Linked DNA regions of Anolis sagrei. The protein of the gene in region 3 interacts with the protein of the main gene of each other region in a pairwise test. Links are inferred from orthologs where the notes say so. Each region holds a gene or a part of one and is shown on either strand. Other genes may lie near its edges. The genes, in order: PLXNB1, PLXNB3 and ARHGEF11.

Region 1 (6,973 bases), on a different chromosome or scaffold from region 3:
AACGAATGAACAACAACAATGCACAGGCCCATTTATAGACATGCTTCAAATTACATTGTTTCATCTGCAGGCGCTATAAGCTTGAACTGTTGTTTTTGTTGCTGATTGTTTTTAGAGAAGCTAATTTTCTCCATTTTTCTGGTATTTCATCTGTAGTATTGTGATGTGGTCTGCTGTGGGAGGAAGTCCATGGATATGACAAAGTGTGTTCCCACACTGGTTGAGACCAACCCTGGTGACACCATTGTGCATCCTTTTGAACATTTCACACAAGACGTCAGGACATGTGTAGCCAACAATTTTATTTATTTATTTATTTATTTATTTATTTCATTTACTTATACCCCGCCCTTCTCACCCCGAGGGGGACTCAGGGCGGCTTACAATGGGGGCACAATTAGATGCCCAAGGCAATTCACAAACAATACAAATACAAACAATTCAACAATTAATTAAAAACATCAGTACATAATAAAAACAATAAAACAGTCTCATGCTCAGGGTTCAGAGTCCATATATCCATTCCATTCCATTTGTCCTTGTCTAACATCAGATCCTTCAGTTAGCTGTCAGAATGACCAAAGGCTTGATCCCAGATCCAGGTCTTCAGTTTTTTCCTAAACGCCAAAAGGGAAGATGACGATCTAATCTCCCCGGGGAGTGAGTTCCACAGGTGGGGGGCCACCACTGAGAAGGCCCTACTCCTCGTCCCCGCCAGCCTCACTTGTGACAGTGGCGGGGTCGAGAGCAGGGCCTCCCCAGAAGATCTTAAGCTTCGAGGTGGGACGTAGAGGGAGATCCGTTCGGACAAATACACTGGGCCGGAACCGTATAGGGTTTTGTAGGTCAAAACCAGCACTTTGAATTGTACTTGGAATTGGATCGGCAGCCAGTGGAGCTGACGCAACAGGGGGTTGTATGCTCCCTGTACGCCGCTCCAGTGAGCAATCTGGCTGCTTCTCGCTGGACTAATTGTAGTTTCCGAGCAGTCTTCAAAGGCAACCCCACGTAGAGTGCGTTGCAGTAATCCAGCCGGGATGTGACAAGAGCGTGGACCACCGTGGCCAGATCTGGCTTCTCAAGGTACGGGCGCAGCTGGCGCACAAGTTTTAATTGTGCGAAAGCTCTCCCGGCCACCGCTGAGACCTGGGGTTCCAGGCTCAGCGATGAGTCCAGGATCACTCCCAAGCTGCGAACCTGCGTCTTCAGGGGGAGTGTAACCCCATCTAACACAGGCTGTAACCCTATACCCTGTTCGGCCTTACGACTGACCAGTAGGACCTCTGTCTTGTCTGGATTCAATTTCAATTTGTTAGCTCTCAGTCCGATACAGCGGCTAAACACCGGTTCAAGGTCTGGACAGCCTCCTTGGTGACAGGTGGGAAGGAGTGACAGATTTGGACATCATCTGCGTAGAGATAACATCTCATTCCGAAACTCCGAATGATCTCTCCCAACGGCTTCATATAGATGTTAAATAACATCGGGGACAAAATTGAACCCTGTGGGACTCCACACAACAACGGTTGTGGGGCCGAACAGGTGTCACCCAATAACACCTTCTGGGTCCGTCCCTCAAGGAAGGATCGGAGCCACTGTAAAGCGGTGCCCCCGAGCCCCATATCCATGAGGCGACCCAGAAGGATACCGTGATCGACGGTATCGAAAGCCGCTGAGAGGTCCAGCAGAACTAACAGGGACACACTCCCCCTGTCCAGTTCCCTGCGAAGATCATCTACCAAGGCGACCAACATCACAGTGTGATCAAGATGGCAAACTTATTTAATGAGGAAGAACACTTGACGATTGGAGAGTACAGCAATTTGCTTTGGAATAAATAGGTAAAGGTTCCCCCTTGCTTTGGAATAAATAGATAAAGGTTTCCCCTTGACAGAGTAAGTCGTGTCCTACTCTGAGGGGTGGTGCTGGGTTTTGCGGGAAATTGGCCTGGATATTTTGGAGTTGTAGGTACTGGGATTTATAGTTAACCTACAATCAATTAGCATTCTGCACTCCACCAAAGATGGAATTGGACCACACTTGGCACACAGAACCCCCATGGCTAGCAAAAAAACCAAAACAAAAAAAAAACCCACTGGAGGTCTTTGGGAAAAATACAACTTCATTTAGGGGACTTGTAGTTCACCTACATCCAGAGAGCATTGTGAACCCAAACATCAATGGATCTGAACCAAACACTGAGGGATCTGGACCAAACTTGGCACACATACCTGATATGCTGAAACTTGATTACTGCAGGGGTTTAGGGGGAACTGACCTTCCTTTCTGGGATTTGTAGTTCACCCACAACCAGAGAAACTGTGACCTCCACCGATGATAGACCTGTTCCAAACTTGGCACACAGATCCCCTATGATTAACTCAACCTACTGGAGGGGTTTAAGGGGGCTGACTCACGATAGTAGGAGTTGTAGTAGCCAGAGAGCACACCAAACCCCACTGATGATATATCTAGAGCAAACTTGACCAACATAACAAACTTTAAGTACTGATGGAGTTTCTTGGGGTTAACCTGGCATGACTTTATGCATTTTGTAGAATTTAAAAAATGACTTTTTCCAATAACCTGGGCAACGCTGGGTATCCAAGCTAGCAAAAAATAACAAAAGGCTAGCTGGAAAAGCCTTTTGTACAGAAGCACCCCAGTCAAATATGTTGAGTGGGTAAAACTAGGTCACAAAGGATTGCACTATAAACGCAAAGGTGTCCCATCTCCGTTTAGAACACCACACATGCAAGCGAAATAGCAAAGGCACTCACTCAAGCCCTTTTTTCCGGCTTTCCATTCCCTCACAAGGGAAAGAAAAGAGAGATCCAAATTACACAAACTGATCTCACAGCAGAGGACTTTCTTTGGCCTGCCACGGTCACACAAACATTTTCTCTGCTCCCAGACTTGGGCAGAGTTTTTTCTCCCACCCAAATCCCAAACTGGTAACTAGGAGACGGAGCCAAAAACACACTTCTTGCCTTGCTCTGATCCATTCATGACTTTTAAACACTAATCCCCTTTGTACCTCTCCTCCGGAGCCAATCCTTGCCTGCAGCCCATTCAGCCTGGTACAGAGTCCCCTTGCAAGCTTCATTTAAAGGACAGGGAGGGGAGGGGCGGAGGGGAGAGGAGAGGAGAGTGGGGGCCACATTAAAAAGAAAGGTTGGGAAAAAAGTAGCCTTTTCTTCCTGTCCCAATCTTGGTCTGGAGTGGAGAACTGTGTTTGTATGTTCCATGTCTTTGGAGCAGCGTAAAGACAGGGCTTTCACTGAGAGCAAGTGCCTGTCTGTCACAGCTCAGAGCATTCATTCCCAAACAGTGTGGTCCATTCATTGGCTGCCAGGCCTGGGCCCAGAATGCAGCTTCACCCCAGAGAAAACTGGGAGAGGCTGAGAAAAGGAGCAGAGGTGGGAAAGGAGAGCGGGCTCAGTGGCTAAGGGGATGGGTTCTCAATTCCTTATTTATGAGGATTTTCAAAATACAGTTTAAACCTGGCACGGGCAAACTTGGCCCCTCTAAATGTTTTGGACTTGGTCCCTCCAGATTTTTTGGACTCCAACTCCCACAATTCCTAACAGCCTCAGGCCCCTTCCTTTTCCCCCCTCAGCCACTTAAGCTTAAGGAAGGGGAGAAGTTTTTAAGTCTCCTGGAGCATCCCAGAGGTGAGCAAAAGTAAACATATGAAGTGACATCATCACCAAGCTGGTTGCCCATTTGGGTTGAAAATCAGAATAGTTTTTACAGCATGAACAGGAGAACAGCAACATGCAAATAACTCCAGATGAAACTGCGGACAAAGGTAAAGAATCATGGTTCTGTAAAAAGGTTAGCTTTTTTAGTCTGGATGAGGGCGAAGAAATTGAAATTGACATAGACACTTCTGGTCAGTCGCAAGGATGAACTGGGTATAGGGTTACAGTCTGTGCTGGTTGGGGTTACAGGTTCCCAGGTTTCAATGGTGACCAGGGGAGCTTTTGCACAATTAAAACTTGTGCGCCAGCCAGTTACGCCTGTAGCTTGTGAAGTCAGACTTGGACATGGTGGTCCATGCTCTTGTTACATGGAGAATAGACTACTGCAATGCGCTCTACATGGGGTTGCCTTTGAAGACTGTTTGGAAGCTTCAAGTGTCCCTGAGCGGCAGCCAGATTTCTCACCGGAGCGGTGTACAGGGAACATACAATTCCCCCTGTTGCGTCAGCTCAACTGGCTGTCAGTTTGCTACTGAGCACAAGTCAAAGTGCTGGCTTTAGCCTATAAAGCCCTAAACTGTTCCGGCTCTGCTTGTCTGAATCTATCTCCCTCTATGAACCATCATGGAGGTTAAGATCTTCTGTGGAGAGGCTCTGCTCTTGGTCCCACCTCCTTTGCAAGTGTGGTGGGGAGAGACAGGGTCTTCTCAGTGGTGGTTCCTCAGCTGTGAAACTCTCTCCCCACTGAGATAAGATCAGTGCGCTCCATCTTGGTTTTCAGAAAGACATGGTTGTGGGACCAAGCCTTTGGCCAGTAAAATAATGCAGTTTAAGACTAATTGGGGAACATGTGCAATTGACAACTTGGAATGGCTACGGTTTATGATTTTGATCATGTGATTTTAAAGTTTATACTAGGATGTTTTAATGCTATATCTAAATGTTGTGTATGTGTTATGTTTAATGGTCTTAATTTATTTTAACACATAGTTATATGTTATTCTGGGAATATGTTATTGTTGTCGCTTCTGGTGTGAGAGAATAGGCCATCTGCAAGGACATTGCCCAGGGGACGCCCAGATGTTTTTGATGTTTTACCATCCTTCCTATAAAGGGAACTGGAGCTGACAGAGGTAGCTCAAGCTGCTCTTCCCGGATTCGAATGGCTGATCTGTCGGTCAGCAGTCCTGCCGGCACAAGAGTATAACCCATGGGGGGCTGACATGAAAAAAAATTATTGTTGAGATATTTTTAATTTTTACATGTATGTCTGGCTTTGAATTTTGCCACTAGTATGTTGTAGTCCTCCCAGGGTTGAGAAGAGTGGTAAATAAATACATTAAACAAACAAACAAATAAATAAATAAATGAAGTGGGACACCCCCCCCCCCCCCCCCCCCGGTGGGTTAAACTTGTTGACCGAAGCAGTTTTTAATCCAGGGAGCGGCGTGAGTTTCCAGCTTCTTCCAACCTAGCAGTTTGAAAACATGCAGATGTGAGTAGATCAATAGGTAATGCACGAGCAGGAAGGTAACAGCACTCAATGCAGTCATGACCTTGGAGGAGTCTATGGACAATGCTGGCTCGTCGACTTCGAAATGGAAATGAGCACCAACTCCCAGAGTCAGACACGGCTGGACTTAATGTCAGGGGAAAACCTTTACCTTTTTAAAAATAAATAAATACATAAATTTATATTTATGGATTATGCATCTATGGATTCAACCACAAATGACTTGAAAATATCATAAGGGGAGGATTTGAAAAGGCCGAGCACTGAGCATTATGGGGATGCATGGGCATACCCTGCTGTAGCTGCCTGTCATTTCACAGATCCCCAGACTGTCTTCATCACTTTTTTGAAAAGGCAGCTAGAAAATACTACTCATTACGCCCAAACACTATGTTGTTGTGGTACTTTATAAATGTCCTTTTCTTACATATTCATTCACCTCTTTCTCTTCCAATCACAGTGGCCATGTTACTTATAACTGTATCGCCAACAAGCTCTGTGAAAACTGCAGACACATTGCAGGGCTGTGGGTGTCGGAGTGAGCTCTAATTTGAGAAATGTCCTGCCGCTGGTTTGGTGCCAGTGATTCCCCCTGCTGGTTCACAAGATGAATGTAAGCTGGCATCGGGGCTCTCTTGGCTAGCAGCGAAAGAGTGGTTTCTATCCGAAAAGGCAAGGAGGAGGTGGCTGAAAACTTTCCAGAGGTCAGGCAGCTTTCCAGCAACTACAAAAAGTCCCCCGTCCAGCTTGCTCTCCCAAATTGAACATGGAAATTAGTTTCCTCATTACGGGTACCTGGGAACCAGAGAGCGCTTGAATTGGTTCAATAGTCCTTTTTTTTTGTGCAAAGCTGCTGAGAAAAACAACAAGAGGCAAGACTATAGCTGTATTCCAAGAATCTCTAGGGATTCCTTTTTCATGCCCCAAGTTTTGCTGGAAGACCAGAAAGAGGGTTTCTATCCACAAAGTTGGCTTTTGGGGAGTGAAATGCAAAAGAAGGACATTCTTTGACCTTGGCTAATAGTGGCCTCAGTCACAAGGCCGTAATGACCTTACTAGCCCAAAGAAACAGCTCAGTAAAACCCCGCTTCCTCCAGCCCCAATTTGCAAAAGGAGCTTCTAAAGAAACCACAATTCCGGGATAAGTTTTTACAGGCAATTGTTTCCAGTTTCCTCAAAGCCCAAAGTGTTGCTAAGTTTGAAAGAAAACCACTGTTCAATTAATATTCAGAGCCCATGAGCGGATGTCAAATTTATTTCTAGGAAGCATTCGGAAACTGGCGTATGCCATGCTAATAAAGCCAAGCCTCAACAACACTTGTGGGCTCCTCTACTTTGTAGCAGTGGCCTTGGATTGCTAAATAGAGCTCTTTGTAGTGCGAGTTCCTTCATGGTTATGACCAAGGGGTTTCCTGAAACTGGCCACCCTTTGCTTCACTGTGGGAGAGATGTTTCAAAGGTTGAGGATGAAAGGGTATGGCTGAAGGTTTTTGTTGTTTTCCCATTTCAAAGGAAAGGGATGGCTGAAGTTTTTTTTGTTGTTTTCCCATTTCCAGTTAAATGATGAAAGTGGGTAAGTCAGGGGTGTTGAACTCATTTTCATCGAGGAGCACATCAGCCTTAGGGTTGCCTTCAAAGGGGCATTGAATCCATGGACAGAGAATCTTTGGACCCAGAGGGCCTATATATATTATGTGTGTGTGTGTGTGTGTATACACACACACACACACACACACACACATATGTAAAAGTTTCC
Region 2 (7,812 bases), on a different chromosome or scaffold from region 3:
TAGTAACATCACCACCATACATATACGCACTCTCCTTCATGCAAACACACACCTCCCTGGGGAAGGTGCGCGAGACGCATTCACAGACAATGGCAAAGGGGTGGGGCTGCGAAGGAGACAAAAGGCGCCCCTCTCCCGCGTACATTTCCAGGGGAATGGAAACATATGCGTGTGCGGGACGCCAGTTCCAATATACTCACTTCGCATGGAAGCAACCTAAAGCAGAGTTAGTTGTCTGAAGAAGGAAAAAAGAATTCCAACATCTTTGTTAGTGTTTCGGCTAAATAAAAGCCTCACAACATGGGCGAGCTTTTGAATCATCCAGATCTCTTCTATTTGAAGAGATCTGGAGATCTCTTTGAATCATCCAGATCTCTTCTATTACATTACGAAATATAGTAACAAGGGGATCACAAAGTCCGAGAAGAAATATTGTCTGCCAACTGGAAGTCATATTGTCTGCCAACTGGAAATTATATGTGCTGAATGAGAGTGAGACACACATATGGACACTCAGGAATTATAACGTCACAGAATGTTACCAAAGCATGTGCTTCGATATAATAATCTATATAAATAAAAATGTAATGTTCGTTTGTGGGATTAACAGAACTCAAAAACCACTGGGGGAATGGACACCAAATTTGGACACAAGACACCTAACAACCCAATGTATGTCCTTCACTCATAAAAACACTGAAAAACGCAGAAGGGACTTTAAAAGCCCCCAAAAGCTAAATGATAATACAGAAAAAGGAAGAAAGAGGGAGGGGAGAAAAGAAAGAAAGCAAGAAAGAAAGAAAAAAAAGAAAGAAACGAGGGAGGGAAAGAAAGAAAGAAAGAAAGAAAGAAGGAAAGGGAGAAGGAAGCATGGAAGCAAAGACAGAAGGAAGGAGAGAGGTAGAGGAGGAAGAAAGGAGAGAAAGAGGGAGGGAAAAAAGAGGAAGGAAAGTTAGAGAAGGAAGGAAGGAGAGAAAGAAAGAAAAAACAGAAAGAGGGAGCGAAGGAAGGGGGAAGATGTAGAGAAAGAGGAAGGGAAAGAAGGAAGGAAAGAGAAAAAGGAAGGAGAGACAGCAGAAGAGAAAGAAAAAGGGGGAAGGAAGGAAAGAGATAGAGAAGGAAAGATGGGAAGGAAGGAAGGAAAGAGGGAGTGAAGGAAGGAGGGAAAGAAGGAGAGAAAGAGGGAAGGTTGGCCACAGCAACGCGTGGCAGGTACAGCTAGTAATCTATATAAATAAAAATGTAATGTTCGTTTGTGGGGTTAACATAACTCAAAAACCACTGGATGAATTGACACCAAATTTGGACACAAGACACCCATCAGGCCAATGAGTGACCATCACTCATAAAAACATTGAAAAACACAGCAGAAGGGACTCAAAATGACAAAAAACCCAAAAAATACATTAATAATAATAATAATAATAATAATAATAATAAACTTTATACCACGCCACCTTCTCTCCAAAGGGGACTCGCCAAGCCCAATGATACATTACAACAACATAAACAGCAAAATAACATCACAGTTAAAATAAATAAACCAATAAAGTAAATAAACAGTACAAAATAACATAATGGAAAATTGAACACAGTGGGCGGGCCAAATGAACGACATAAAATGAGATAGCAATGAAAAAGGTACATTTGAAAAGGTACACAAAACACATATACACAGACTGGGCCACAGCAACGTGTGGCAGGGGCAGCTAGTAATAATAATAATAATAATAATAATAATAATAATACTTTATTTATACCCCGCCACCATCTCTCCAAGGGGACTCGGGGCAGCTTACATGAGGCCAAGCCCAGCAATACAATACATCAATATACAACAGAACACAGCAATAAAATATAAAGAAAATAAAAATTCAATGCAAAAACCATTATAAATAACACATCAAACAAAGTAAATCGCAATCGATCACAGTGGGCAGGGACGGTTACAATAGAATAAAAAAATTAAAACACTGGGTGAGACAGCAGTGTAATATATCTGGACAGGGGATACGGAGGATAAAGTAGGGTTTGACTGCACTAACAGGTAAAATAAAGTGCTTCTGAAGGCATTTTGCACTACCTCTGAGGATGCTTGCCATAGATGCAGGCGAAACGTCAGGAGAAATGCCTCTAGGACATGGCTCTATAGCCCGAAAAAACCCACAAGAACCTAGTGATTCCAGCCATGAAAGCCTTCGACAATACATTTTGCAAGAATTTATTCTGTGATACTAATGTTTGTATCACAAATAGTATCTGACAGAGAAAGATGTCACCGAAGAGAACTGGATCTTTCCAATACTAACTTTACTTCACAACATGCCAGCCCACCTTTTCCTCCCAGAGAAGGAATCCCGGACTGAAATCCCACTGTTAGTCCAAACTAGAATACACTCACTGATTAAATGACAACTGAGTCGCCCAATATGTGTGTAAGTTTAACGGATGCAATTATTTCCTCTATTTGGGACCGATATCGGATTCAGACTCAGGAGTTGCAACCGCCGGCAGGCTCCGATCTCCACCGTTCAATCCCATTTTGGTCCCACGCGCGTATCGCTTCCCTGCACTTACCCGCTGGCCACGCTGAGCACATTTCAGCTCCCGCATGGTAACGTCAGGCAGTGGCAGCAGCCGTAGGGCTCCGCGGACATCCCTAGAAGAAAGCGATAAGGCAGTGTGTGAGTTGATATGGAGGGGGGCTGGGGTTAGATGGCAATTCAAGGCTGTATCAATGGCTGCTGTGATCAGCGTCCCCCCTCCCATCAAAGCCCCCACTGTTCCCCTCTCGGCTGTGCCATCACAGAGCCACACGGGGGCTCAAGGGGCCCTTTATCCCACAGCAATAGAGCTCTCACAGCATTGAGACACATGACCCTGGCACCCCAGAGAAAATGAACACGGGGTGGAGGGAATGGGGAGGTTGTGGGTGAAGAATGAAGGCCACTGCCAGAGAGAGAGAGAGAGAGGAGAAAGAAGAAGGCAGCTATTGCAAGCCAGCCAGGGCATCAGCTGATCAGACGGGTGTCGGGACAGAGGCTGAAGCAGCAGGAGAAATGGACAGGTCAGGACTTGTGTCTCGCCCCAGGGTGGGGAACAGAGGAAGCCCTTGTCATTTGTTTGCATGGCGTTATTGATTAATGGAAGGGGCAGAAAGAAAAAGAGATGGGCAGAAATGTGGGTGTGGCCGTGCCTGGTTTCCTGGGAGCTCAGGGGGTCCTTTGGAACTCTGTATTTTTGAACTCAAGGCATTTTAAAGCAAGGCAAAAACAAGCCAAAGTGCAAAACACAAAAGATTTACAGACTCATTCCCAAATTTGAAGTTTGTTTTCAAAACCTGTTTCGGCTTTCCTCCTGGCTCAGACTCCTAAAATTTAGGATTTCTCAAGCCTCCTAATGCCAAGACCCCTTAATACAGTTCCTCCTGTTGTGGTGACCCCCAACCATAACATTATTCACGTTGCCACTTCACCACTGTAATTTTGCTACTGTTACGTAAATATCGGATATGCAGGATGTATTTTCATTCACTGGACCAAATTTGGCACAAATATCCGATCCGCCCAAATCTGAATACTTGTGGGGTTGAGGCCGGATGATTTTATCATTTGGGAGTTGTAAGATAAAGGTAAAGATTTTCCCCTGACATTAAGTCCAACTCTGGAGTTGGACTTCATGTCCAACTCTGGGGTGTGGTGCTCATCTCAATTTCTAAGCTGAAGAGCTGGCGTTGTCCATAGACACCTCCAAGGTCATGTGGCCAGCATGACTGCATGGAGTGCAGTTACCTTCCCACCGGAGCAGTACCTATTGATCTACTCACATTTGCATGTTTTCGAACTGCTAGGTTGGCAGAAGCTGGGGCTGACAGCAGAAGCTCACGCCACCCCCCAGATTCAAACCTGTGATCTTTTGTTCAACAAGCTCAGCTTCAAACCTGTGATCTTTTGTTCAACAAGCTCAGCTTCGAACCTATGATCTTTTGTTCAACAAGCACTGTGCCACCAGGGGCTCCAGTTTGGGAGCTGTACTTGCTGGGATTTATAGTTCACCTACAATCAAAGCGCATTCTGAACTCCAGCAATGATGGAATTGAACCAAATTTGGCAAACAGAACTCCCATGACTAACAGAAAATACTGGAAGGGTTTGGTGGGCATTGACCTTGAGTTTTGGAGATGTAGTTCACCTACATCCAGAGAGCACTGTGGACTCAAGCAATGATGGGTATGGACCAAACTTGGCATGAATACTCAATATGCCCAAATGCGAATACTGGTGGAGTTTGGGGAAAATAGGCCTTGACATTTGGGAGTTGTAGTTGCTGGGATTTATAATTTACCTACAATCAAAGAGCATTCTGAATCCTACCAACGATGGAATTGTACCAAACTTCCTACACAGAACGCCCATGACCAACAGGAAATACCGTGTTTTCTGATGGTCTTTGGCAACCCCTCTGACACCTTCTCCTGAAACCCCCCCCCCCCCCCGGGTCACGACCACAATGTTGGGAAATGATGCTGTAGATCCCCAGCATTACTCTACAATCAACTTTTCGCAGTAGTTGATCATCTAATTACAGTGGAGAACTTCAGCTCCAGGAGACAATATTTTAATAAAATCCACAGAATTCAAACCTGTAGAAGACAAATCTGGAAGTATGGAGGGCTTAGAACTATATATTTACATATACACACAATATGTTTACTTTCTGCTTCTCTGTTTCTAGCCTCTCCCCTCATCCCTAATTCTTGCCATCACCCCCTTGGTTGGCAACAATATTAATCTTGCTCCCACTCCCATATGGGAAATATCGTGCCTGTCTCTGCTCATGCCAAATGCCCCAGATTCTGCGGCTTCTTGCAGAGAAGGGTCGATGGGGTTTTAATGGAATTGCTAGTGTTGGGAGGATATAATAATTGCGTGGAAGAGGGCTGCTTCCAGGGATTGAGGTTGGAAGAGAGGTGTTAGCGAGGATTAGCCGGACATCTGCAGATTGGCACTGAGTGCCGTCACCTGCCCAGCCAACAGAAGCCTCATTGCATAGTCAGCTCAAAAGCTGTTCAGAGGTTTGCACAGTCAGTCCTGCTGTCGCTCATGTTCCTGAACAGAGCTTAAGAAAATGTCTCTTTTAGATCCCCCAAATTCCCAAGTTCCATCACCAGTTATAGTCCAAAAACAGTAATAGTTCCAAGATGGGCTTCAGAATCAGTTCCAAAGTGAGAAAACTACATAGTGGTAGTAGGGTAAGAAACTAAGGAGTCTCTGCACACCCTCTGATTGCAACACAGTGAATCCACTTGAACTGCCATGTGTAACTTGAGTTTGATAGTTTGGTCAGAGCCTCTTGTTGTGCGTCTTCAGGTTGCATGGCAACTCTAAAGGCAAACCTATTGCAGGGTTTTCTTGCCAAGATTTGATCATAGGAAGGTTTGCCTTTGTTTTCCTCTGGGGATGAAAGAGTGTGACTTGTCCAAGGTCACCCAGTGGGTTTCCATGGCCAAGATTCAAATCTTTGTGCTCAGAATCAGACCAGGACGCCATCTCTTCCCAATCTACAGATTCCAGGATACCATAGATCAGTGGTTCTCAGCCTGTGGGTCCCCAGGTATTTTGGCCTCAACTCCCAGAAATCCAGTTTACCAGCTGTTAGGATTTCTGGGAGTTGAGGCCAAAACATCTGGGGACCCAGAGGTTGAGAACCACTGCCATAGATTGTTATTCTGGCAGTCAAAGTGAAATCATAGTACTATGATTGTGTAGTATGAATGGGCCCCTAATCAGTGAGACCCAACAAATGGGGAAGTCCATCTCACTCCAGTAGGCTTTGTTTGAAAGAATTTTGCCATAGTTTGGACCTTGGTGTGCCACACAAAGACATGCATGCACACACTGCAATAAATTCAGGCACTAAATCAGCATTTCTCAACCTGGGGGTCGGGACCCCTGGGGGGGTCACAAGGGGAGCGTCAGAGGGGTTGCCAAGACAACTAGAAAACATAGTATTTTCTTTTGGTCGGTGTGGGAAGTTTGTTCTCTCATTGGTGGAGTACAGAAAGCTATTTGATTGTAGGTGAACTATAAAAATCAGCAACTACAACACCCAAATGTCAAGGCCTATTTTCCCCAAACTCCACCAGTATTCGCATTTGGGCAAATTGAGTATTCATGCCAAGTTTGGTCCAGATCCATCATTGTTTGAGTCCACAGTGCTCTCTGGATGTAGGTGAACTACAACTCCAAAACTCAAAGTCAATGACCACCAAACCCTTCCAGTATTTTCTGTCAGTCATGGGAGTTCTGTGTGCCAAATTTGGTTCAATTCCATCGTTGGTGGAGTTGGTACGTTCAAATTTGAGCTAACCATGTATTTGTGGCAAATTTGGTCCAGTGAATGAAAATACATCCTGCATATCAGATATTTACATAACGATTCATAACATTAGCAAAACCACAATTATGAAGTAGCAATGAAAATAATTTAATGGTTGGGGGTCACCACAGCATGAGAAACTGTATTAAGGGGTCGTGGCATTAGGAAGGTTGAGAACCACTGGTAAAGAGGTTCTTAGAGAGAAAACCAGGAATACTGCATATGTATATAGCTAGACACACACACAGAAAAGAATCAAGAGTTTAAGATATAGGTGTCAAATTCAAGACCTGTAGGCCGAATCTGGCCCACCATGTCCTTTTATGCGGCTCTCCAAATGCTGGACTGCAACTCCTCATCATTACACATCATGACTAGAGCTAACATCTGGGAAGCTGGAGTTTGTTCTATTTACTCAGCATAGTGGTGTTTGAATTCAGATACAAGGCTTGTGGATACAATGTCTGATTTTGAAATGACCTTCAAACTTTCCCAAAGCTCAGAGCCAAAGTGCTCTTATGTTGCAATTCCCATTATCCCCAGGCTGCATGGGAGATAATCAAAAGTTAAGAGAGTTATTGTTCAATAACATCTGGGGACCCAAACTGGGCTAAAACTAAAGAGCATCAACCACTGGGTTAAAAAAAATATAGTTGGCCCTCTGTATAATTCTCCATCCATGGACTCAACAGCCCTTTGAAGGCAACCATAAGGCTGGCGTGGGCCCTGATGAAAATGAGTTTGACCCCCCCCCCCCAGTTCAAGGTGTTGCTTCATCTAGTCCAGGGGTCCTCAAACTTTTTAAACAGAGGGCCAGGTCGCAATCCCTCAAACTGTTGGAGGGCCGGATTATAATTTGAAAAAAAACATGAGTGAATTCATATGCACACTGCACATATATTATTTGTAGTGCAAAAAACACTTAAAAGCAATACAATAATTAAAATGAAGAACAATTTTAACAAATATAAACTTATTAGTATTTCAATGGGAAGTGTGGCCCTGCTTTTGACTTTTTTTTTTTTTTGTCGTGTCAGGAGCGACTTGAGAAACTGCAATTCGCTTCTCGTGTGAGAGAATTGGCCGTCTGCAAGGACGTTGCCCAGGGGACGCCTGGATGATTTGATGTTTTTATCATCCTTGTGGGAGGCTTCTCTCATGTCCCCGCATGAGGAGCTGGAGCTGATAGAGGGAGCTCCTCCGCCTCTCCCCAGATTTGAACCTGCGACCTGACGGTCTTCAGTCCTGCCAGCACAGGGCTTTAACCCACTGCGCCACCGGGGGCCTTTGACTGATGTGATAGGATTGTTGTTGTTGTGGTATGCTTTCAAGTCGTTTCAGACTTAGATTGACCCTAAGCGAGGGCCGGGTAAATGACACTGAAGGGCCGTATTCGGGCCTTAGTTTGAGGACCCCTGATCTACTCCTACCAAG
Region 3 (7,616 bases):
GCCATCGGGGGCTCCTTAATGGGCCAGCTAACACCTCCCAACAGAGGATTCCCTCAAGCAGTAGCCAGCCAGGCTTTGAAGCTGCAAGGCCATTCAATGCTAATCAAAGTGATCAATTGCAGCATTCACACTTACCTCAATCAGACAAGAGTTCTTTCTCCCACTCTGGACATTTTTCCAAATCTCACTTGCCTAGTTTCCAACAGACCCTTAAACCTCTGAGGATACCTGCCATAGATGTGGGAGAAACATCAGGAGAGAATGCTTCTGGAACATGGCCACACAGCCCGGAAAAGTCACAACAACCCAGTGATTCCAGCCATGAAAACTTTGACAACTCAAGAAAAAACCGAAAGGAAAAAGTGACAAGTGGCACGGAGTTCAATTACTTCATGACATCTTTCCGTGTGGAACGGACCCAAAAAAAGTATTTCTCAGAGAAAGAGGGAGAGACAAGGGACGCCAAGTCGTATGACCATTACCAATGCCTTCCTTGAGCAAAGGCCAAAAAACCTGGACATCGCCTCCGCATATACACACATAGGCCGACGCTGGCCCATTCATCCATTGGCCAAAGAAACCGAGGAAAGAAAGACAATGTGTTGTCGAAGGCTTTTCATGGCCGGAATCACTAGGTTGCTGTGAGTTTTCCGGGCTGTCTGGCCATGTTCCAGAAGCACTCTCTCCTGACGTTTCACCCACATCTATGGCAGGCATCCTCAGACGTTATGGGTAGGAGGAAGAATTCTTGTCTTTTTGAGGCAAGTGTGAATGCTGCAACTGATCACCTTGATTAGCAATGAATGGCTTTGCAGCTTCAAAGCCTGGCTGGTTACTGCTTAGGGGAATCCTTTGTAGGGAGGTGTTAGCTGGCTCATTAAATGCTAATCAAGATGACAAATTGCAACAGGGGAATTCCAGGCAAGAAACAATCAGGGCCAGCTAACACCTCCCAACAAAGGATTCCCCACAAAATCACAAGTCGAACACTTCCCAAGCGTCTAGGACTGTATGATGTATTTACAAATGATGTGTGGAGATCCAAGTCAGGTGGCTTTTTGCAGTTGACAGATTGTGGTGATATTATTATTATTATGGGACATGGCTGTACAGAAAACTCACAGCAACCCAGTGATTCTGGCCAGGAATGCCTTCAACAACAGACCTCACAGCCTCTGAGGATGCCTGCCATAGATGTAGGTGGAACGTCAGGAGAGAATGCTTCTGGGACATGGCTGTACAGCCCGGAAAACTCACAGCAACCCAGCGATTCGGGCCATGAAAGCCTTCAACAACAGACCTCACAGCCTCTGAGGATGCCTGCCATAGATGTGGGAGAAACATCAGGAAAGAATGCTTCTGGGACATGGCTGTACAGCCCAGAAAACTTACAGCAACCCAATGATTCTGGGCAGGAAGGCCTTCAACAACAGACCTCACAGCCTCTGAGGATGCCTGTCATAGATGTGGGAGAAACATCAGGAGAGAATGCTTCTGGGACATGGCTGTACAGCCTGGAAAACTCACAGCAACCCAGTGATTCCGGCCAGGAATGCCTTCAACAACAGACCTCACAGCCTCTGAGGATGCCTGCCATAGATGTAGGTGGAACGTCAGGAGAGGATGCCTGCCATAGATGTGGATGAAACATCAGGAGAGAATGCTTCTGGGACATGGCTGTACAGCCCGGAAAACTCACAGCAAACCAGTGATTCCGGCCATGAAAGCCTACAACAACAAACCATTTTTGGTAAGCAAAGGAAGAGCTAAACCTGTCTATTTGACATACCTGTCCAATGCAGTCTGAGGTGGCCGCATGTTCATGGTTTGTAGTCAAATCCAGAAGGCCGGGGTTGGCCAGCGGTGGATCCTTTGGCTGCTTGCACGCCTTTTTCCTTTGCGCAGATGCGGATTTTTATTACCAATCCTAACCACAAAGGAGGAAAACTAGTCTCTTGCAGTCAAGACGGCGGAGCCTTTGAGTCCATCCTTATATCCATGCAGCGTTCCAGGCTTTGGGAAAGTGGTTGCCCCAAAAAATAAAATAAAAAATACAAATAACTTTGCAAACCTTGTCCAAGGTTATCAATTCTGGGCCTTGGGGAAGTGGTTGCCCCCAAAAATAAAAATACAAACAACTCTGCAAACTTTGTCCAAGGTTATAAATACTACCCGGTGGAATAAAGACGCGTTCCCGTCCAAAACATTAAAGTCATAGGGATCAAAACATCCTAATAATCCAGTTTTCCCAGCTGTCCTTCCTGTTGGAAGAGGGAAGGGGGGACAATGGAAAAGATCTGTATTCCTGGGTCTCTCTCTGTGTTTGTGTGTCTTCAGGTTGCCAAAAAGATGCCCAATTTCACTCTCAAGCAGCCTCCCTTGTCCTTCCTTTGGGCTAATAAATAAAAAGCCATGCAACAAATCACTCCCAAGGAAAGAAAAGCAAAATACACATCATAATAATCATCATAATATTAATATTAATAATAATAAGGTAATTGCAAACTTCTTTTCCTGCCAAGGCAGGTACAGGATAGAGGACTAAGGGGAATCAATGAAGGGCTGAGCAGAGGACAGTGATACCCCCTCCTCCTCCTCTTCTTCTTCTTCTTCCAAAGCCCCAAGATGTCCTCCAAAGCGGTGGGTCCTTCCCCTTCTTCTTCTCCTCCTCCTCCTCTTGCTCCAGCTTGGCTTCGGGGTCCGAGGAAGAAGAAGGTCCTCCTTCTTCACCTTCCTCCTCCTCCTTTTCCCCTTCCCCAGTGAGGGAAATCCAAGGAGAGGCCTAGCGGGAGCGGCGAAGCCCCGGCCTCGCGTAGGGAGGCTCCCCGACCTTCCTCGGCTCCGGGAGGGGAAGCAGCACCGGTCTGGGAAAGGAGAGCCGAACCCGCAAGTGGCTTGGCTCCTAGGCCCGCCTGCCTGCCTGTTTTGCCTGCCCTTCGGTCCTTCTCCTCTCCTTCCTCCTCTTCCTCCTCCTTCTTCCCAGATAATCCCTCCCACAGCCGCCCTCCTCCTCCTCCTCTTTTCCTCCTCCTCCTCCTCCTCCCGCCCTCAGGAAGAGCTTCCCTGGCTCTGCAGCAGCAGCAGGTGGGAGGGAAGGAAGGGAGGAAGGAAGGAAGGAAGGAAGAGGGAGGCATCCCCACCATCATCCTCATCATCACCATCATCATCACCTTCATAAGGCATTTGCTGCCCTTCTCCTTTGCCTTCTCAACCCCCCATTTGAATGTATTAGTTGCCATCCTCCTCCTCATCAAGCCCCTGGAAGGTTCAGTATTGGTTGCCATCATCCTCATCATCAAACCCCTTGAATGATTCCTTCATGGCCATCTTCACCACCATCATCCTCATCATCAAACCTCTTCATACCATCATCATCATCATTATTATCATTATCAAGCCCCTTGAATGAGAACTTCATGGCCATCTTCACCACCATCCTCCTCCTCATCAAACCTCTTCGTACCACCATCATCATTATCATCTTCACCACCATCCTCCTCCTCATCAAACCTCTTCGTACCACCATCATCATTATCATCTTCACCACCATCCTCCTCCTCATCAAACCTCTTCGTACCACCATCATCATTATCATCATCATCATCATCATCAAGCCCCTTGAATGAGAATTCCATGGCCATCTTCACCACCATCATCCTCATCATCAAACCTCTTCGTACCATCATCATCATTATCATCATCATCATCATCAAGCCCCTTGAATGAGAACTTCATGGCCATCTTCACCTCCATCATCCTCATCAAACCTCTTCGTACCATCATCATCATTATTATCATCATCAAACCCCTTCGTACCATCATCATCATTATTATCATCATCAAGCCCCTTGAATGAGAACTTCATGGCCATCTTCACCACCATCATCCCCATCATCAAACCTCTTCGTACCATCATCATCATTATCATCATCATGAAGCCCCTTGAATGAGAACTTCATGGCCATGTTTACCACCATCATCCTTATCATCAAACCCCTTGAATGCATTAGCTACCATCCTCACCACCACCATCATCCTCATCATCAAACCCCTTGAATGCATTAGCTACCATCCTCACCATCACCATCATCCTCATCATCAAGCCCCTTGAATGATTCCTTCATGGCCATCTTCACCACCATCATCCTCATCATCAAACCTCTTCATACCATCATCATCATCATCATTATGATCATCATCAAGCCCCTTGAATGAGAACTTCATGACCATCTTCACCACCATCATCCTCATCATCAAACCCCTTTGTACCATCATCATCATTATTATCATCATCAAGTCCCTTGAATGATTCCTTCATGGCCATCTTCACCACTATCAGCCTCATCATCAAACCCTTTGAATGTATTAGCTACCATCCTCACCACCACCATCATCCTCATCATCAAACCCCTTGAATGATTCCTTCATGGCCATCTTCACCACCATCATCCCCATCATCAAACCTCTTCGTACCATCATCATCATTATCATCATCATCAAGCCTCTTGAATGAGAACTTCATGGCCATCTTCACCACTATCAGCATCATCATCAAACCCCTTGAATGTATTAGCTACCATCCTCACCATCACCATCATCCTCATCATCATATCCCTTGAATGATTCCTTCATGGCCATCTTCACCACCATCATCCCCATCATCAAACCTCTTCGTACCATCATCATCATTATCATCATCATCAATCCCCTTGAATGAGAACTTCATGGCCATCTTCACCACCATCATCCCCATCATCAAACCTCTTCGTACCATCATCATCATTATCATCATCATCATCAAGCCCCTTGAATGAGAACTTCATGGCCACCTTCACCACCATCATCCCCATCATCAAACCTCTTCGTACCATCATCATTATTATCATCATCATCAAGCCCCTTGAATGAGAACTTCATGGCCATCTTCACCACCATCATCCCCATCATCAAACCTCTTCGTACCATCATCATCATTATCATCATCATCAATCCCCTTGAATGAGAACTTCATGGCCATCTTCACCACCATCATCCCCATCATCAAACCTCTTCGTACCATCATCATCATTATCATCATCATCATCAAGCCCCTTGAATGAGAACTTCATGGCCACCTTCACCACCATCATCCCCATCATCAAACCTCTTCGTACCATCATCATTATTATCATCATCATCAAGCCCCTTGAATGAGAACTTCATGGCCACCTTCACCACCATCATCCCCATCATCAAACCTCTTCGTACCATCATCATCATTATTATCATCATCAAGCCCCTTCATGGCCATCTTCACCACCATCATCCTCATCATCAAACCCCTTGGTGCCATCCTCATCGTCATCATTATCATCATCATCAAGGCCCTTGAATGAGAACTTCATGGCCATCTTCACCACCATCATCCTCATCATCAAACCCCTTCGTACCATCATCATCAGTATCATCATCATCATCAAGCCCCTTGAATGAAACTTCATGGCCATCTTCACCACTATCAGCCTCATCATCAAACCTCTTCGTACCATCATCATCATTATCATCATCATCAAGCCCCTTGAATGATTCCTTCATGGCCATCTTCACCACCATCATCCTCATCATCAAACCCCTTCGTACCATCATCATCAGTATCATCATCATCATCAAGCCCCTTGAATGAAACTTCATGGCCATCTTCACCACTATCAGCCTCATCATCAAACCTCTTCGTACCATCATCATCATTATCATTATCATCATCATCAAGCCCCTTGAATGATTCCTTCATGGCCATCTTCACCACCATCATCCTCATGATCAAAACACCTTGGAGCCACACCCCCTCCCCCCACCATCATCATCAAGCCCCTAGAATGAGAACTTCATGGCCATCTTCGCCACCATCATCCTTATCATCAAACCCCTTGGTGCCATCCTCATCGTCATCATTATCATCATCATCAAGGCCCTTGAATGATTCCTTCATGGCCATCTTCACCACCATCATCCTCATAATCAAACCCCTTCGTACCATCATCATCATTATTATCATCATCGAGCCCCTTGAATGAGAACGTCATGGCTATCTTCACTACCATGATCCTCATCATCAAACCCCTTGAATGCATTAGCTACCAACCCCACCACCACCATCATCCTCATGATCCCCTTCATACCACCATCATCATTATCATCATCATCATCATCAAGCCCCTTGAATGAGAATTCCATGGCCATCTTCACCACCATCATCCTCATCATCAAACCCCTTGAATTATTCCTTCATGGTCATCTTCACCACCATCACCCTCCTCATCAAACCTCTTCGTACCATCATTATCATTATCATCATCATCATCATCAAATCTCTTCGTACCATCATCATTATTATCATCATCAAGCCCCTTGAATGATTCCTTCATGGTATCTTCACCACCATCCTCCTCCTCATCAAACCTCTTCGTACCATCATCATCATTATCATCATCATCAAGCCCCTTGAATGAGAACTTCATGGCCATCTTCACCACTCTCAGCCTCATCATCAAACCCCTTGAATGTATTAGCTACCATCCTCACCACCACCATCATTCTCATCATCAAACCCCTTGAATGATTCCTTCATGGCCATCTTCACCACCATCATCCCCATCATCAAACCTCTTCGTACCATCATCATCATTATCATCATCATCAAGCCCCTTGAATGAGAACTTCATGGCCATCTTCACCACCATCAAACCTCTTCGTACCATCATCATCATTATCATCATCATCAAGCCCCTTGAATGAGAACTTCATGGCCATCTTCACCACCATCATCCCCATCATCAAACCTCTTCGTACCATCATCATCATTATCATCATCATCAAGCCCCTTGAATGAGAACTTCATGGCCATCTTCACCACTATCAGCCTCATCATCAAACCCCTTGAATGTATTAGCTACCATCCTCACCATCACCATCATCCTCATCATCAAGCCCCTTGAATGATTCCTTCATGGCCATCTTCACTGCCATCATTCTCATCATCAAACCCCTTGGTGCCATCCCCACCACCACCATTATCATCATCATAATCAATCCCCTTGAATGATTCCTTCATGGCCATCTTCACCACCATCATCCCCATCATCAAACCTCTTCGTGCCATCATCATCATTATCATCATCATCAAGCCCCTTGAATGAGAACTTCATGGCCATCTTCACCACCATCATCCCCATCATCAAACCCCTTGAATGTATTAGCTACCATCCTCACCATCACCATCATCCTCATCATCAAGCCCCTTGAATGATTCCTTCATGGCCATCTTCACTGCCATCATTCTCATCATCAAACCCCTTGGTGCCATCCCCACCACCACCATTATCATCATCATAATCAATCCCCTTGAATGATTCCTCCATGGCCATCTTCACCACCATCATCCCCATCATCAAACCTCTTCGTGCCATCATCATCATTATCATCATCATCAAGCCCCTTGAATGAGAACTTCATGGCCATCTTCACCACCATCATCCTTATCAAATCCCTTGGTGCAATCTTCATCATCATCATTATCATCATCATCAACACCCTTGAATGAGACCTTCATGGCCATCTTCACCACCATCATCCTCATC

What was found.
Region 1: the proteins of ARHGEF11 (region 3) and PLXNB1 interact in a two-hybrid assay, tested with the Homo sapiens proteins (2 studies listed by BioGRID). The link is inferred for Anolis sagrei from reciprocal best matches to the Homo sapiens genes ARHGEF11 and PLXNB1.
Region 2: the proteins of ARHGEF11 (region 3) and PLXNB3 interact in a two-hybrid assay, tested with the Homo sapiens proteins (2 studies listed by BioGRID and IntAct). The link is inferred for Anolis sagrei from reciprocal best matches to the Homo sapiens genes ARHGEF11 and PLXNB3.

Annotation. Positions count from the first base shown.
Region 1 is NC_090022.1:26,208,191-26,215,163, reverse strand, and holds the start of PLXNB1 (plexin-B1), read right to left. Parts: upstream 3,076-6,973; 5' UTR 3,038-3,075; intron 1-3,037. UniProt on the Homo sapiens protein: Receptor for SEMA4D. Plays a role in GABAergic synapse development. Mediates SEMA4A- and SEMA4D-dependent inhibitory synapse development. Plays a role in RHOA activation and subsequent changes of the actin cytoskeleton.
Region 2 is NC_090022.1:178,016,055-178,023,866, reverse strand, and holds the start of PLXNB3 (plexin-B3), read right to left. Parts: upstream 3,020-7,812; 5' UTR 2,867-3,019; coding exon 2,862-2,866; intron 2,660-2,861; coding exon 2,578-2,659; intron 1-2,577. UniProt on the Homo sapiens protein: Receptor for SEMA5A that plays a role in axon guidance, invasive growth and cell migration. Stimulates neurite outgrowth and mediates Ca(2+)/Mg(2+)-dependent cell aggregation.
Region 3 is NC_090032.1:11,723,599-11,731,214, reverse strand, and holds the start of ARHGEF11 (rho guanine nucleotide exchange factor 11), read right to left. Parts: upstream 3,008-7,616; 5' UTR 1,825-3,007; coding exon 1,790-1,824; intron 1-1,789. UniProt on the Homo sapiens protein: May play a role in the regulation of RhoA GTPase by guanine nucleotide-binding alpha-12 (GNA12) and alpha-13 (GNA13). Acts as guanine nucleotide exchange factor (GEF) for RhoA GTPase and may act as GTPase-activating protein (GAP) for GNA12 and GNA13.